Linked DNA regions of Kluyveromyces lactis. The protein of the gene in region 3 interacts with the protein of the main gene of each other region in a pairwise test. Links are inferred from orthologs where the notes say so. Each region holds a gene or a part of one and is shown on either strand. Other genes may lie near its edges.

The links. The genes of interacting proteins can lie anywhere in the genome.
Region 1: the proteins of FTR1 (region 3) and FET3 interact in binary tests that used the Saccharomyces cerevisiae proteins (3 or more experiments, as listed by UniProt). The link is inferred for Kluyveromyces lactis from reciprocal best matches to the Saccharomyces cerevisiae genes FTR1 and FET3.
Region 2: the proteins of FTR1 (region 3) and KLLA0_C18161g interact in a protein complementation assay, tested with the Saccharomyces cerevisiae proteins (2 studies listed by BioGRID). The link is inferred for Kluyveromyces lactis from reciprocal best matches to the Saccharomyces cerevisiae genes FTR1 and YLR326W.

The regions. Positions count from the first base shown.
Region 1 is NC_006042.1:2,442,445-2,448,230, reverse strand, and holds FET3 (ferroxidase FET3), read left to right. Parts: upstream 1-2,705; coding exon 2,706-4,601; downstream 4,602-5,786. Other genes in the region: BUB2 (Bub2p), read right to left, coding at 1-389; AAN1 (Aan1p), read left to right, coding at 5,171-5,786. UniProt on the Saccharomyces cerevisiae protein: Iron transport multicopper ferroxidase required for Fe(2+) ion high affinity uptake. Required to oxidize Fe(2+) to Fe(3+), which is then transported into the cell via the ferric iron permease FTR1. Essential component of copper-dependent iron transport.
Region 2 is NC_006039.1:1,606,082-1,610,869, reverse strand, and holds KLLA0_C18161g (uncharacterized protein), read left to right. Parts: upstream 1-2,901; coding exon 2,902-3,603; downstream 3,604-4,788. Other genes in the region: RPL38 (60S ribosomal protein eL38), read right to left, coding at 92-328; transcription factor IIF subunit TFG2, read right to left, coding at 982-2,148; mRNA splicing protein PRP18, read left to right, coding at 2,402-2,860; ECT1 (ethanolamine-phosphate cytidylyltransferase), read left to right, coding at 3,751-4,677.
Region 3 is NC_006037.1:264,110-269,338, forward strand, and holds FTR1 (high-affinity iron permease FTR1), read left to right. Parts: upstream 1-2,807; coding exon 2,808-3,968; downstream 3,969-5,229. Other genes in the region: REC8 (Rec8p), read right to left, coding at 1-247; FAR7 (Far7p), read left to right, coding at 676-1,284. UniProt on the Saccharomyces cerevisiae protein: Permease for high affinity iron uptake.

The sequences.
Region 1 (5,786 bases), on a different chromosome or scaffold from region 3:
ACATTCATACCCTGCACATAAGGGGAAAGACCTGGAAGTTCATGTGTTTGGTTACTATCAAGAACATCCCATGCGAAACAAGATAGGACTCTAATTAGTTGCGATTCAGTGACCTTATTCCTAAATTTTTCATCTGTGGATAGCGTTCTGAAAGTATCATTTTTAATCTTAGAGATCCAATTCGATGGTGGTGCGCCTAATTGTACTAGCCGCAGGTATTCCTGAGTACATTTTTCCAGCGATGCTCGGGAGAGGATGGACCAAACGTGAGATCTTGTACGTTGATGATCTTCATCGGACAACCCTTCTGATAACACGAGGTATCGCAGTTGAGAAAGCGAAGAATGAACTATGAGCGGTGGCTGAGAGATGAATTTTTCAATCGACATTTCGATATCGTCGACAATTGCTAGAGTACTGGCCAGTAACTGGCGTTATTACCACTTATTCTAAAATATATGCACCTTTTAGACATATGGATGATATTATGCATTGGATCAGATCCATATTTCGCATAAATGGTAAACAAAGGCTAACCAAGATATGTTAATTACCCGGTGTGACAAATAATTCGATCACGTGGATCGGGATTTTGTTAAGAAGGTCGAAGCAGATGTAGCTTTCAGAATACCGTCTGAACAGAAAACTAGCCAAGACTATATTATCGGTGTTAGAGACAAAAAGATTCACATACGCATGCATATATACACATAATCATAAAATGGCACCCTGTTTTTTTCACGGTTCTGGATTAAACACCTAGACTGACTCGTTCAAATTGTACATAACTCGATATCAATTCAAAAATGGTGGAAAAAAAGTGTTTGTATGAAAATTATCAAAAAAGAAAAAGAACGCTGGTAAATAGGAACATCATTACGATATAGAGTATAGAAAATAGAGTAATTACAGCAAGTTTGAGAGTTGCAGTTTCGACCTACAGTAGAAAACTGACCATTCCATGAAATTTCCCTGGGTGCAATAATGTATTTCTCATTCGTAATGAAATAAAAAAATAAATTGAAAAAGCGAAAATTGGCAAGTATCCTACGTTCAGTACTGGGCGTTCGGCCCAAGTGCAGCCATAGATAAACTTGGCATCGTTGATAGATTAGATATAGCACACTTCTATGTGTACCGATTACCTACTCAAGAAGAATGACAACGCAAAAGGCCCGGAATCGAGCATGATTTACTCGTTTGCCAAGATTCAAAACTGACAAATCTTGGTGCTCGCTCACAAAGGGCTTCTGGCACGTTCAGTGACATGGGGCCGTTACGGATACCCTTTCCTCATCCGCTTCTCACCCTAAAGGCTCTCCTCCACCTACGGAACAAGAACGGTGGAGAAGTGATCCGCTATTAGCATTGATGAAAAAAATCCAATTCTCAATATACTGCGCCTTATCTTGTAGTTATTTAGAAAAGCTAAAAACTGAAAAACTTTCTTGGCAATGTATGGAGACTATTCGGGGCCTTGATTTTTGGGCCTGGGCCCAAAAACCTTTCTCATTCGAGCCTGTATATTTTTTTCCGATTCCATTGAACTGAATAAGAAATTATAGAAGGAAGGAAAAAATAAAATGAAGAAAAAGAATGTAAACTGGCAGGAAAGAATTGGCTGAAACTTTATCGCTCGAAAACCCCGGCGGGGGTGGGTGTAGCAACTACCATTACAAAAAACCCTGGAAACTTATTATCAAGAAGTAGAGCACTTCCGTTTTTTTCTTTTTTTTCTTTTTCCCATTCAAACAGTTGGGCCCTGATGTTTACTCTCCCACCATCTCAATTTTTTCCCATTTCAATACAATCATAATTCCAATTCCAATTTCAACACTCACAGCTACCACTAGGCAAGCTACAGTTGACCTTTTTTTTTTTTTTTTCCTTCTTCATCTTTGTTTAATTCTCATAAAAGCGTAGTGAAACAAGTACATAAGAAAAAAAAATAGGAATGGCAGTTTCTTGGCTCAGAAAGGAAAGCAGGAAAGCGGACGTTCTGTTTGGTCGACTAACTCTTTCCATGTTTATCAGTTGTTTTTCCCCTTTAAGTCCTCGTAGTAAGTGTATTATTACCTTGCTCTTTCTTTACGCAGTTTTTACTTCCGCTAATTAGGTTATTATCTTGAATTGTACACCCCGAATTGTTTAATTTTTGACTTAGTATTGTGGCACTACCTAGGTATTTTGGTTCTAGTTTCCTCAAGATTTTTTTTTTTTAATTCCATATTACTATCTATTTGCAGGTGTGCTTTTCAATACCAGGCATAACCATTTGACAGTTTAGAGAGACTGGTTTAGTTCGGGAGGGAGGAAAAACACAAAGAAGTAGAGGCAGAGGGTATTGTAGTGTGCATGAGGGTGATATCTCGTTTCTTCATATTGCAGTAGGTTCGGCGCGGTCGGTAGTGGGCTTTTGTACAGAGGTTTGAGATGGATTTTTTTCTTTCTTTTATCACTGGTTGGTTCTATCGTGTGAGAATGTGTATATTAATGTATATATACAATGGTAATTTCAGTAAAATGTTCTCAATGTTGTCATTAGGCCTCTGCACGAGGTGTATATTGCTCAGTTGAGATTTTTGTTATCTGTCTTCAGGGTTCTTTCTTATTTGCAATATCTGCGTTAACCATCTCATCGCATATCTTTAAGTCTCATTGGTTTTCTTTAAGAACAAAAAGAAGAAAAAAGGAAGTATAAAGACATGAAGGTATCGACTCATCACTTCCTGCCATCGTTGCTAGTGGCTTTGTGGAGTTGGGCTACTGTTGCTCAAGCTGCCACTCATACCTTCAACTGGACCACTGGTTGGGGTAACTATAACGTCGATGGTAATTTCGAGAGACCAGTTATCACTTGTAATGGTGAATTTCCATGGCCTGACCTAAAGGTCAAGAGAGGTGACCGTATTCAAGTGTATTTGACAAATGGATTCGATGATAGAAACACATCCCTACATTTCCATGGTTTGTCCCAGAACGGAACTAACATGATGGATGGGCCAGAAATGATTACCCAGTGTCCTATTGCTCCTGGTGACACCATGTTGTACAATTTCACCATCGATGATAACGACGGTACTTACTGGTACCATTCCCACACTGGTGGTCAATACCAGGACGGTATGAAGGGTACTCTTGTTGTTGAGCCTGAGGATTCTTTGCCATTTGATTATGACGAAGAAGTCGTTGTGCAACTTGCCGAATGGTATTATGACAATGTCGATACCCTTGACCGCAAATTCATGAACGTTTACAACCCAACTGGTGCCGAACCAATTCCTCAGAATTTGATCATTAACAACACTAGAAACATGACCTGGAATGTCGAACCAGATACTACATATCTCTTGAGAATTGTCAATACTGGTGGATTCGTCTCACAATACTTTTGGATTGAGGACCATGATATGACTGTCGTTGAAGTTGATGGTGTTTACGTTGAAAAAAACACAACTTCTATGCTTTACATCACTGTGGCACAACGTTACTCCGTTTTGATTCACACTAAGAATGACACTTCTAAAAACTATGCTATCATGCAGAAGTTTGATGATACCATGTTAGACGTTATTCCTAACGATTTGATGTTGAACGCTACTTCTTACATGATGTACGACAAGGATGGAGAAAAGCCTGAACAAAGCTATGTAGACAGCATAGATGATTTCTTGGATGATTTCTATTTGACCCCATTGGATAAAGTCGAATTGTATGAAGACCCTGATTATACTATTACCGTTGATGTGGTCATGGATAACTTGAAAAATGGTGTCAATTACGCTTTCTTCAATAATTTGACTTTCACTGCTCCAAAGGTCCCAACATTGATGACTGCTTTGTCGGCTGGTAAAGATGCACTAAATCCATTGGTTTATGGTACCAACACAAATGCTTTCGTCTTGAAAAAGGATGAAATTATTGAAATTGTCTTGAATAACAACGATACTGGTAAGCATCCTTTCCATTTACACGGTCACATTTTCCAATTGGTTGACAGAGAACGTGGTTACGATGATGCAATTGGTGAAGGACCTCATCCATTCGATCCAGAAGACCACAATCCTTTCCCAGATTACCCAATGATGAGAGATACCGTTTACGTGAATCCACAATCCAGTATAGTCTTGCGTTTCAAAGCCGACAATCCAGGTGTTTGGTTCTTCCATTGTCACATTGAATGGCATTTGAAGCAAGGTCTTGCATTGTTGTTGATTGAAGCACCAGAAGAAATGCAAAACACTGAATCCCAACAATTGACTGATAACCACAAGCAAGTCTGCGAAAATGTCGGTCTTTCTTGGGAAGGTAACGCTGCAGGAAACACTAACGATTTCTTGGATCTAGTCGGTCAAAACGTTCAAGTGGCTAACATTCCAGATGGTTTCACTGCTAAGGGTATTGTTGCTATGACCTTTTCCTGTCTAGCAGGTGTTCTTGGTTTAATTTCCCTATCAACCTACGGTTTGATGGGTGTTAAGAAGTCAGAAGAAGAAATAATCAGAGACTTAGGTATGGATCCAGATGCCGTCGAAAAGGTCGACGTTTCTGATATCAACTCGGATGAAGATTCTTCCAGAACATCTAAAAACATTGAGTAAACCTCATGTCGTTTAATGAACTAATATTATCCTTCCAAACCCCCAATTCATTCGATCAGTGCCTATACTTTTCCTATAAATATAATAAACAAGGAAATTCCATAGATCTATCATTAATTCAGAACTTTGCCATTGAACTGCAGTTCAGCCTATATCTTTAGTAGATTATTTTGTAATGTATTTTTTATTTTACGTCTTTTTAGCCGTTTTAGTGTGCACTCACGTTGACAATAACTTGCCGTGTATGAAATTTCACATTACTGTTAAGACAAAACTGTAGTTCATTGATTAACCTGAAACGATTTATCTTCTATCCAATAAACTCTTTTTGGATATTTCAGTATAAAATTTCAGTATTGTCATACATGCTAACGGTGGGTTTGTCATTATTGGTTTATCTTGTTTTTTCCTTTACAAAACTATTGAAATTTCACTTTTTGATACTGCAAAAGTGTGTTGAAAACTTGGAAGACATCAACATTCACTGAAGGAATTTGTAAAGGTGACAAGTGGCTGGCCTTACCCTTAGCAAGTTACAGAAACTCGACAACGTACAGGATATAGTGATAATGTCCGCAGAAGCTCGTGTGCCACACGCAACTCGCAAGCCGCGCAAACAAGTGCGATACAAGTTTCAATTTACTAGAGATTTGAGGTTCCAAGACACAAATTATAAAACTGTAACATCCATGGAGTATTTAAGCACCAATTATGGCCAGAGGACAGCACGTATCATACACTCATTCATATCATGCATTCACAGAAAGATCAATCATGATGTTTCGAAGATTTCTGATAATGTAGTACTAAAATTGATCAGGCCAATGGATAAATTAAAACTATTTCTATTGCTAGTAACACTCTCACAACGAGGCGGCCCAGACTATTGGTTGGACAAACATGGTAAGCCGAATAGCTCGGATTATGAGGAAGAAGTGGAGCCAAAAAATATCAAGAAAGAACCAAAATTGTTCTGTACTTTGTTAGAAAATGTGATGAGAGAGAATATCAAGAAGAATTTTGATGAGACACTTTATGACGAAAACTACGTCTACAGTTCTATATGGGCTAATTTCATGGAAGGCTTGATTAATCATTATCTGGAAAGGGTTATCATACCGAAATCAGAGAGAAAAGTATGTCAACAGTTGTACAAACCTATGATGAAAATTATTTCTTTGTACA
Region 2 (4,788 bases), on a different chromosome or scaffold from region 3:
ACCATGGGTTGAAACAGACGATTGGTGGAATTTCCAAAAAAAACAGTTGATATGGTATTAAAGAAAGTATTAGTGTCTCTCTAGACTACCCTTACAACTTGTTAACGTTGAAAGTTGGTGGCAAAGATTGCAACAATTTCTTGGCCTTACCAGCATCGTTAACAATCAAGGTGTACAAGTATCTGGAACCTCTTAGCTTGAACTTGGTTTGTCTGAAAGCCTTACCGTTCTTGTTCAACTTCTTGTTGATCTTGACGGTAGCAGAGTTGACATCTTGTCTTCTGATCAATTCCAAGAATTCCTTAATATCAGCGATTTCCTTAGCCATTTTTGTTAATGTACTTCCTAGTTGTTGATGCTTGGAGATTCACAGAAACTATTAAGACAAAAGAGTTAATAAACTGTAATTAAAAGTTATAAAGAATACTAAACAAGAACCGATAATACAATGTAAAAAACGCTAAACATCAAAAAAACACTAAATGGACATATACAAAACACCACTATTAACGACAAATGTTAAAATCTAAAACGTTAAAACTGTCGAAAGTTGTTCGAAACTAAACGTTTACTGGCTTGCCAATTGCACAATACTCAATGAGCACAGTCGATGAGATTGGTGAAAAGTTTAGTTGATGGTGTGTGGGTGTCAGGAGGTTGGCTTTTAGAGATTTTTTGGGTTTCTTTGAGTATTATACTACCCAATTGAGAATTTTCTCGTTTTGTATCCGGATGTGTGGGTTTTTATTTTTCAGTGTTTGGAGTGTATGGGTGTTATTTTAACAATGGACAGTCCTTTGTTAATCACGTGATTTGAATTCTTTAATCCTACTATTGGTTCAGGTCACAAGAATACATCACAGGACTAGACATGCCAGCATCATGAATAAGATATCCATTCATTTACTAGATAACCGGTGGGGCATGATTATGTGTATATATATATATATATATATATATATATACTATGTTTGAAGGGTTCTACAACACATCCTCCATTTCCACGTCTTCCAAGTCTTCCTCCTCTTGCTCGTTCTCCTGTTGTTGTTGTTGATCAAATTGGTCTTGAATCTGCTGCTGTTGTTCTGGATCAGCGTGTTGTGCCAATTCACCAAGCGTAGCAGCTCTTTCAGCTTCCTTCAACTTTTTATATTCCGATTTTAAAGTATATTTCAAGGCATACGGACCCTTTTTCACAAGCATAGCAACTTGATCTAGCGATTCCTTTAAATATGCTTCTGGTTGTCTTGTTCTCTCCTTCAAACCTTTCAAGGACCAATAATCGTATTCATCAAACAACTTGAACAATAGATCCAAAAGTTCCTTCTTTGGCAAACGGATAGCCCTTGCGTTGTTCTTCTTTTCCTTTCCAACTTTTAAGAACTTGGAAGTGTCGGATCTCATCGACATACCGGCGTTACTCATAGTGACACCAGGAGTTTGGTCAAGCACCGTAACCGTTGGTTTGTGGATGTTTCTAACGATTTGTCTTCTATGTTCCACAATTGTATGGTAATTTGGATCGTCTATCGAGGGCATCACTTGACATTCGTGGTACACTTTCCCCGTCACTGCAGTTTTCTTCGGAATAGTCTTCACGTACGGGATGTATCTATCTCTACCGTCCCTATCCGTCATGACACGGTGCTGAAACCTTCTCTTGTTGTACTTACGCTTCATCTGCTGCTGTTTTTTCTTCATCTCTTCCTCTCTTTCTTGTTTCCTTATGTATGCCTGTCTTTGCAACTCGGGGTTCGACTCCAATTCCTTGGCAAACTGCTGATATTTCTTCAAATTTTGTTCAGTGAATACGTACTCGTTCGTGACTTCTTTCTTGGTCAACTCTAAGTCATATTTGTGCGGTATGTCCTTGTTGTCCTCATCCTCATTCAACAACAACTGGATCGAATGGTCCGCATTATTAATCCTAACTTTACCCAATTCTTGTCCATGCAATGCAGTACGGTTTCTCCAATTTTCAGCTAAGAACTTAGGCAGACGTACAAGCCAAATCTTCTTCCTGGCGTTGGATAGATCCAAGTCTAACGATTCCTCATAAACCTTTTTCTCATTGTTCTCAATATCGTTACCATCGAACGCCTCTTCACCGACTTCTTCCACCAAATCTTTACCACTGGATTCAGACATGATTAGATTTTTAACTATTGGCTTGGATATATGAGACCTAACAGGTACCTCTATCCGGATTCTCTGCTTGCTTTTGTCTTCCTTCCGCCTTCCTGTTGTGGCTTTAAGTTGTTAAAGTTGTTTCAATTATCAATTCGATAAATCTTTAAAACTGACAAAAACAGCTAGCCATCAACGATAAAATAAACAGAAACTAACCAAGTGGATTGGCACCTCTGCCTACGGTGTATTTACGTTCATCAAAGCAGGCGTCATGAGTCATGCAGTCGAGGAAAGGTACAACAGTCAACAGAAACCGTTGAACGAGAGCTGCAATGAGTATATACACGAGATACTTAAAGAATGGGAAACCCAAGAATCTGAATATACTGTCGTGCCTTTGAAACGGGTTAAGGTGGCATTGTTCCCACTTCTAGTGGCATTAAGGAAACAGGAGCTCGGTCAATTGCAATTATCCCAACTGGCAAGAGTATTAGATGCCATTGTAGATGAAGATTACGTGCGAGCAAAGCAAGAATACCTTACTTTAAGTATAGGTAAAGGGAAGTTTCCGATCGGGTTAACCAACGTTGGTATACACGAGAGGAAACAGCAGTTGCAAGGCAGCAAGGCACAAACACAAGAGAACATGGTTCTTGATGACTGGTGCGTCAACATCAAACGGCTTGTCAATTTCAAGCAATGGACATCTTCACAGCGAAGAACCGCATGATTTTAAATATAGAATTAATTTCAAACCACTCTGATGGCTACATGTTACATAACCTCGGAACTGGAACAGAAACAAAAAAAGGAAGCGGTAAAGGGCAATCAAGCGACGAGAAGATGGGTGGTGTAGTCACTAGTATGGCTGAGTCTAGTGCTCAGGACTATGGTATGGAAAAGTATGATGATTTCATGGGATCAAAGTTTCAACCGGTGAAGGATCCATTCTATTCGGAACTAAGTAATGGGAAAAGGGTTCGAAGGAAGTTGCCTGCATATTGCACGAAACAGGAAACCAAGACATGGAAACGGTTACAGAACCGAGCATGGTACGACGACCGATGCTTCCTCGGGTGTGGATGTATCTGGATTGATTGGGGCATCGGTTGGGCCACGGTACTTTCGTTGCTTCCTGTGATCGGACCGATCTTAATGTACTGGGTACACAGCTCTACGGTGGAATACGCAAGGAAACGGTACAATTTGCCCAACGATCTGTTGGTGAAGATGCATGCAAACATAGTGTTTGATCTATTAATAACGTTACCCCCGATAATTGGCACGTTTTTGACCTGGATGAACGCATGTTCTACTAGAAATGTCGCAATGGTGTACAATTACGTATGTAAGGATTCGTGGCAGAGGTATCTACAGCAGAACCCAACACAAAGTGCACCGGTTGGGTTCCAACCGATGCCAATGGCTGCGAACCCACAAGTCCCAGCCCAAGCAGTCCACCATCAGGTATAAAAACCTTTGTGCTTGGGACAATCCGTTTAACAGTGTGTATTTCTATATAAAAGAAAATGATAACGCATATGAAATTGAAGACAACTACAGGCAAACCTCATATAAGGTAAAGAGTTAAAGCCATTGCTCCCCGCTAAACCTCAAGCCATGGTTGAATTGTATGAAAATAGGGTATGGATCGATGGGTGTTTTGATTTCACACACCACGGTCATTCTGGAGCCATTCTTCAGGCAAGAAGAACGATTCCAAAAGATCAACGTGATGGATCACTTCTCATCTGCGGAGTTCACAACGACGCAGATATCGAACATCACAAGGGTGGTAAGCCTGTCATTCACGAACAAGAACGGTATTACCATACAGAGAGCAACAAATGGTGCGACCAAGTGGTGAAAGACGCACCTTACGTGACAGAACCCGAGGTTCTTGATTCGTACGGTTGTAAATACGTTGTTCATGGGGACGATATAACCACGGATGCAAACGGTGAAGATTGTTACCAGCAGATGAAGGACAACGGCCGTTTCAAAGTGGTGAAACGTACCGAGGGTGTAAGTACCACCGAGATCATTGATAGAATACTGAGGAATGTCCCCCAGACAAACCAGCAAAAAGCAAGTGTCGATCGTGAGTTGCTGACCATGTACAGTACAGATAAGTCAGGATACGAGCCCTGGAGTTGGGTATTTGGCCAAAATTTCGAGGATGTGATAGTAGAAGGAACTGGCAGTGTCTCTGATCAGAATTGGGTTGTAGTAGAGGAACCAGATGGGTTTGATCTGTTCAATGTGGGACATATCCAAGAGTTACAGAAATGGAAAGAAGCAGGCAAAAGAGTGTGCTGCAGCATGTATACCGACAAAGACGTGTTCATGACATTGGAGGAGAGGACTTTAAGCGTGCTTAGCTGCAACGTGGTGGACGGTGTGCTTCTTTATCCTGTGTCACGTGACACAACGACTGCCAAAACTATCACCACATCTCTCAAAGACAACATCATACAAAGAATTAATCACGATAGGGATCATTATATTGAAAGAAATATAAAAAAGGGCATTACGTATGAGAACTAGCATATATAGGAAGAACGAATGAACAAAAGGCAGCAGCAGGCAACTTCCAGAGTCGCCTTGTCTCATCAGTCGTAACAACCCAAAACCAGCTTCTCAAATCATCTAAAAACA
Region 3 (5,229 bases):
TAACATCTGCTAAAATGAATCCAGTCTTCCGTTCATAGCACACTGTGACACCGTATAACAACTGTCCAGTATGGCGTAAAGGCATCGATACTTGCCCAGATGCTAATATTTGGCAAGCATGAGGAATGGAAACTTTGACTATCTCTCTTTTCTTCACATTCACTGAGTGGGACGCTCCCAAACTGGATAACAACCACACTGTTGCAATGTTCTGATCTTGGGCTATTCTGACTCCCACCTCTGCCATTATGTGAACGAGTTTCCTAGCAACAATAACCTGTTTAGAACTCTGTGTATTGACATACACATCGATATAGTTTTACTCATAAATATTAATGAGAAGTAACAACTAACGAACTTTAAGAAATAAGGAGCACTTTTTATTTTATTATCAATTTAGCCGCCGAGCGTCCTCTGAATCGTTTCAAGATGCAACGCGTATAAAACGATTCAGAGGTCACGTGATCAATATGGATAGCATTCCATTTTCTTTATTCTCTCGACTTCTGTTTCTGCATACAATAATGTCTAATAGCAGTAATCAAGAACAATAAAATAAGGAAAATGTAAAAGAACAGAGGCAAATACACGGCTATTCCTCGATATCTGTTAAGATAATTCTCTCAGTTTGTACAGTAACCAACCGCATATCTCAATAGCAAACCAACAATAATCATGGAAAGCGGCAAAGACGCTGAAAATCAGCCTGTATTGTTCATGGGAGCACAAACTGAAAATTTAGATTACATGTATGAACTAGTGCATGAACTTTCCGCCCAATTGAAAACGAACGAAAATATGAGAGATGCTGTTTTGCAGGATGTGGACCTTCTATCCAGGCAGTTGAACCATGGCAATGTGGACGTATCACCGGACATCAATGTCACAAAGCAATTTATATACAAAAGGTTGAAAGACGAGGAACTCTCAATTCAGGATGAAGAAGAAGAAGATGGGAATGAAGAGGACAACATGTTACATCACGTGACCAAACAAAACGAACAGTTGAAAGAAATCTTAAAGAACCAACAAAGGCGCAATGCTGTAGCACTTCAAGCTCTACGACACCACGACGAAGGATTGGAAATATGCGTGACAATGTTACGAAATGAAATCTACAGTTACCACGTGACCGTACTATCACGGTCCCGAGATCTTATAGAAAATCAGCTATACAAAGCGGAAGATTCCCAATTCAATCAATACCTAGAGTCTGTGACGGACTTACAGCAGCTTCTAGACCTTTGTAAACTTTACAGAACACTTCTAAGAGCGCACCCGTAAATCAAGTAAAGCAGTAGAAAGAAAGAAAAAAAAAAAAAAACTAAGAAATGCTAAGGCAGGACAAGAAAAGAATATGAAACTAGGCAAAGGGTAGGGGATGGGATATGAGGAAAGTTAATGAGGAACTATAATGACACCATTAACAAGATATACACAGAGTGTTATGGGGCAAGTGGGAAAATGTCAATCGGGAAAGAGCTAGAACGAGCCTAATCAAAAGAAATTTGTGGGTTTCGGAATATTGAATGAGATTGTATGAGCCCTAGCTATTCTCGTTACTTTTTTACTGGGTATGCAGATGATATGAAGCGGTACCATCTATCTATCTGTAGTAATAACGTACCTCAAAGCTAGATTGTAATTTATTCTATCACACTCATACTTTTTTCCAAAGTTTTTTTCATGGCAAAAATTGGTTATTGGCCAACGGAAAATGCCAAGAGGTCAAGTCAGTACTTCGGAAGTAACATCATATACAGAAATCCATGCAGTGAAGAAGCCTTATGCGCTTATTCTCAGGAGAAATGGGAAAGAAAGGAAATGAAAATCACATCAATTTAGATTGTAACATATACACCCTATACTACGCTTTCAGATAGGATTTAATTTTCCTGCCATACTTTTCCTCAACTAGAACTCTTACACCTGATTTCATAACCAAGACTGTATTTGACGCAGGATGGGTATATCTCTTCCTCTCTCCATTCCCTTTAATAATCAGTACCATACCATTGCTTTTTTTTTCGTCTTCCGCTTCAGTAATGGAAACACTGTTGAAGCCAAATTAATCCAATCCGTTATACCTTTCCAATTTCAACTATCCTTTCTAAGTGGAAACTTATACCATTTTTTGTGTTTTTTTGCCTAGACATCTATTCCATTCTTTACCCAATTTTTTCCCTTCATAGTTTTTCCCACTACGGATTTCTTGGTACTGTCAGTTTACTGGCCGTATGGGTATTATTTGGGCAAAGTCTAAAATATTGAACCTAAAACGTATTATCTAGTCCACACATAGCCCTGTACTTTGATAGCCTGTTATTTGAGTAACATCTCGATTTGTAGCGGTGTAGGAATTTTGCTAGCTGAAAATGCTAAAAACCACCAATTGCAATGCTGCTTGCGGTTCTATCCTCGACATTTACAGTTTTGTATGTGGAATTGGAATTGACAAAAAAAAAACACCGAAAAAGCCAAGACCTCAAGAGCAGGGGAAGGGTGCATGTACCAAGGTGTAATATTGGAAGATGATAAAGTTTTGGGTGCATAAATCATATTTTTCAGGGAAGGTTTCTGTCACCTTCATTCGATATTGAATGGTTCAGAATATATAAGTATGCGAAACTGGACCCCATGTTGATGTTTTTGTTTGTCTCCTCAGGTGTTAATATTCCATCGCATGCGATGTGGAAGGTTATGTTATGAACATATTTTTGATGCTTTTTGATATGTGTTGTAATTTGATTTTATCAGAATACAACTATAACATCCGTAAATTCTGAACAAACTACAACCAATCAGTCATGGCTGCTAACAAGGTTTTCAACGTTGCTGTGTTCTTCGTTGTGTTCAGAGAATGTTTAGAAGCAGCGGTGATTGTTTCCGTGTTGCTTTCTTTCTTGAAACAATCCATCGGTTCTAATGATATGGCCACTTATAAAAGGTTGAGAATGCATGTCTGGATCGGTGTTGTTGCTGGTTTCATCATTTGTATGGCCATTGGTGGTGGTTTCATTGGTGCTTACTACCGTTACGAAAATGATATTTTCGGTTCTGCTGAAGATTTATGGGAAGGTGTCTTCTGTATCATCGCTACCTTAATGATTTCTGTCATGGGTATTGCTATGTTAAGAGTCAACAAGATGCAAGCCAAATGGAGAGTTAAGATTGCCAAGGCCATGCTTGAAGTTCCAAAGGACAGACGTAAGAAATGGAGTCTTAAATACTGGGCTACCAGATATTCTATGTTTTTGTTGCCATTTATCACTGTTTTGAGAGAAGGTTTGGAAGCCGTCGTGTTCGTTGCTGGTGCCGGTATTACCACCAAGGATTCCAAGGCCACTGCGTACCCATTGCCTGTCGTCATTGGGTTAATTGCTGGTATCATCGTAGGTACTTTGTTGTACTACGGTACTTCTAAGTCATCTCTACAAATCTTCTTGGTCATTTCTACTTGTGTTCTTTACTTGATTGCTTCCGGGTTGTTCTCCAGAGGTGTGTGGTACTTCGATAACTATTACTTCAACAAGAAGACCGGTGGTGACGCATCCGAATCCGGTGATGGTAACGGGTCCTATAACATCTTAAGAACCGTGTACCACGTTAACTGTTGTAACCCGGAATTGGACAACGGTTGGGATATCTTCAACTCGTTGTTGGGCTGGCAAAACACTGGTTATTTGTCATCCATCCTTGCTTACAACTTGTACTGGTTGGTCTTAATGATTGTTATCGGACTAATGATGTACGAAGAAAGAAATGGCCATTTACCATTCTGTAAGAATCTAAAACTGAGACAATTGAAGCCAAGCTACTATTTAAAACGTAAGCAGAACGAAGAGTTGACCGCTGCTGAACAAGAGGAATTGTTCAAACAAGTCAACAATTTGGGCGTCGACGAAGAAGGTAACGTCGTCGTTAACAAAGGTGACACTACCAAAGTCAACGTCGAACTCGTGAAATAAGTGGGTCACTACTAATTTTCACTAGTTCTTTTATCAGAAGTATGTACACCTGTAAACAATCAAATATAATGTAAAGTATCTTTTGGTTTATCGATTAGCAAGTTAACTGCATAGTTGCCAGTTGGGTAAAACTCTATATTCATCTGGGAAATGGAAGCAACAAATATTTATCAGTTGGGAACCCTGATGACTACTGAACGAAAACCGGCTTAGACCACCTCCCCTCTCTCCTGAATCGTGTAACAATTCCTCTTACAATGGCGTGTGTACGTCTCCGCACCTTGCCCAACGCTGTTAGTACAGAGTATAATGATGTATGTGTCGTCCTACCCTTACCATCCGAATAAGACAGAAGAACGCAGCTTGACGAGGTGCCTCTCGAAGCATGTCGAAATGAAATTTCTTTTTCTAATTTCCGGTGCACATTGGCGGAGAAGACACTGCACAACACTTGAAATTCCTGTACGAATGGAAGAGTCTTGAAGGCTTTAAAATCATTACCCGCAAACAGCTGTTCACATACATATACGGACATATCAAACATTCTTATCAAACAGAATACATATATATATATATATATATATATATATATATAGATCTGCAATAATCGGAGCTGAAAGACTTATTTCCTACCCTGATTGAGCTCTACATCCCGCTATACCATTAAACATAGATAGCTTTCAGCGTTTCAAAACTGCTTTTTTCCACTTTCCTAATTAGACCTAAGATAATCAAGCTACTACATACCGAACTTCTTCTTTGTTGTCTTAATACCTTTTTTTCTTTTGGAAAAAATTATAGGAAAAAAAAAATTGAAAAGAGAAGTACTGTAAGTATTCCTCAATTGCCTTCGTTACTCATAAGGTTTAAGAATTAACGGCTGGTATACAGGAATAACTCGGTATCCATATTACTTGTGTTGTACCATTTGACGCTATTTTCTGAAAGAATCTGCTACGAATACTTCTCCTTCCCAACTTTACTCACTGTACTTGTATTTGATTTGATGTGTACTGAAATTTTACAGAGACATTACTTACTAGGTTTAAAAATTTCAACAGAACTTTTAAAGGTCAAATTTTGAGAGATAAAAAAAAGATACTATATATCAGTGTTTTTGACTAGTATTTGAGGAGATTGATAGAGAAACTGCTGTCTCTGGCTTATTCTGTTCACGTTCTCAGTATCCAACCCCCAATTATAAGGCTGAATATCTTCCTTTTTTTCTTTCTCTTCTCTTTCTGGTAGGATTTTTAGTCAG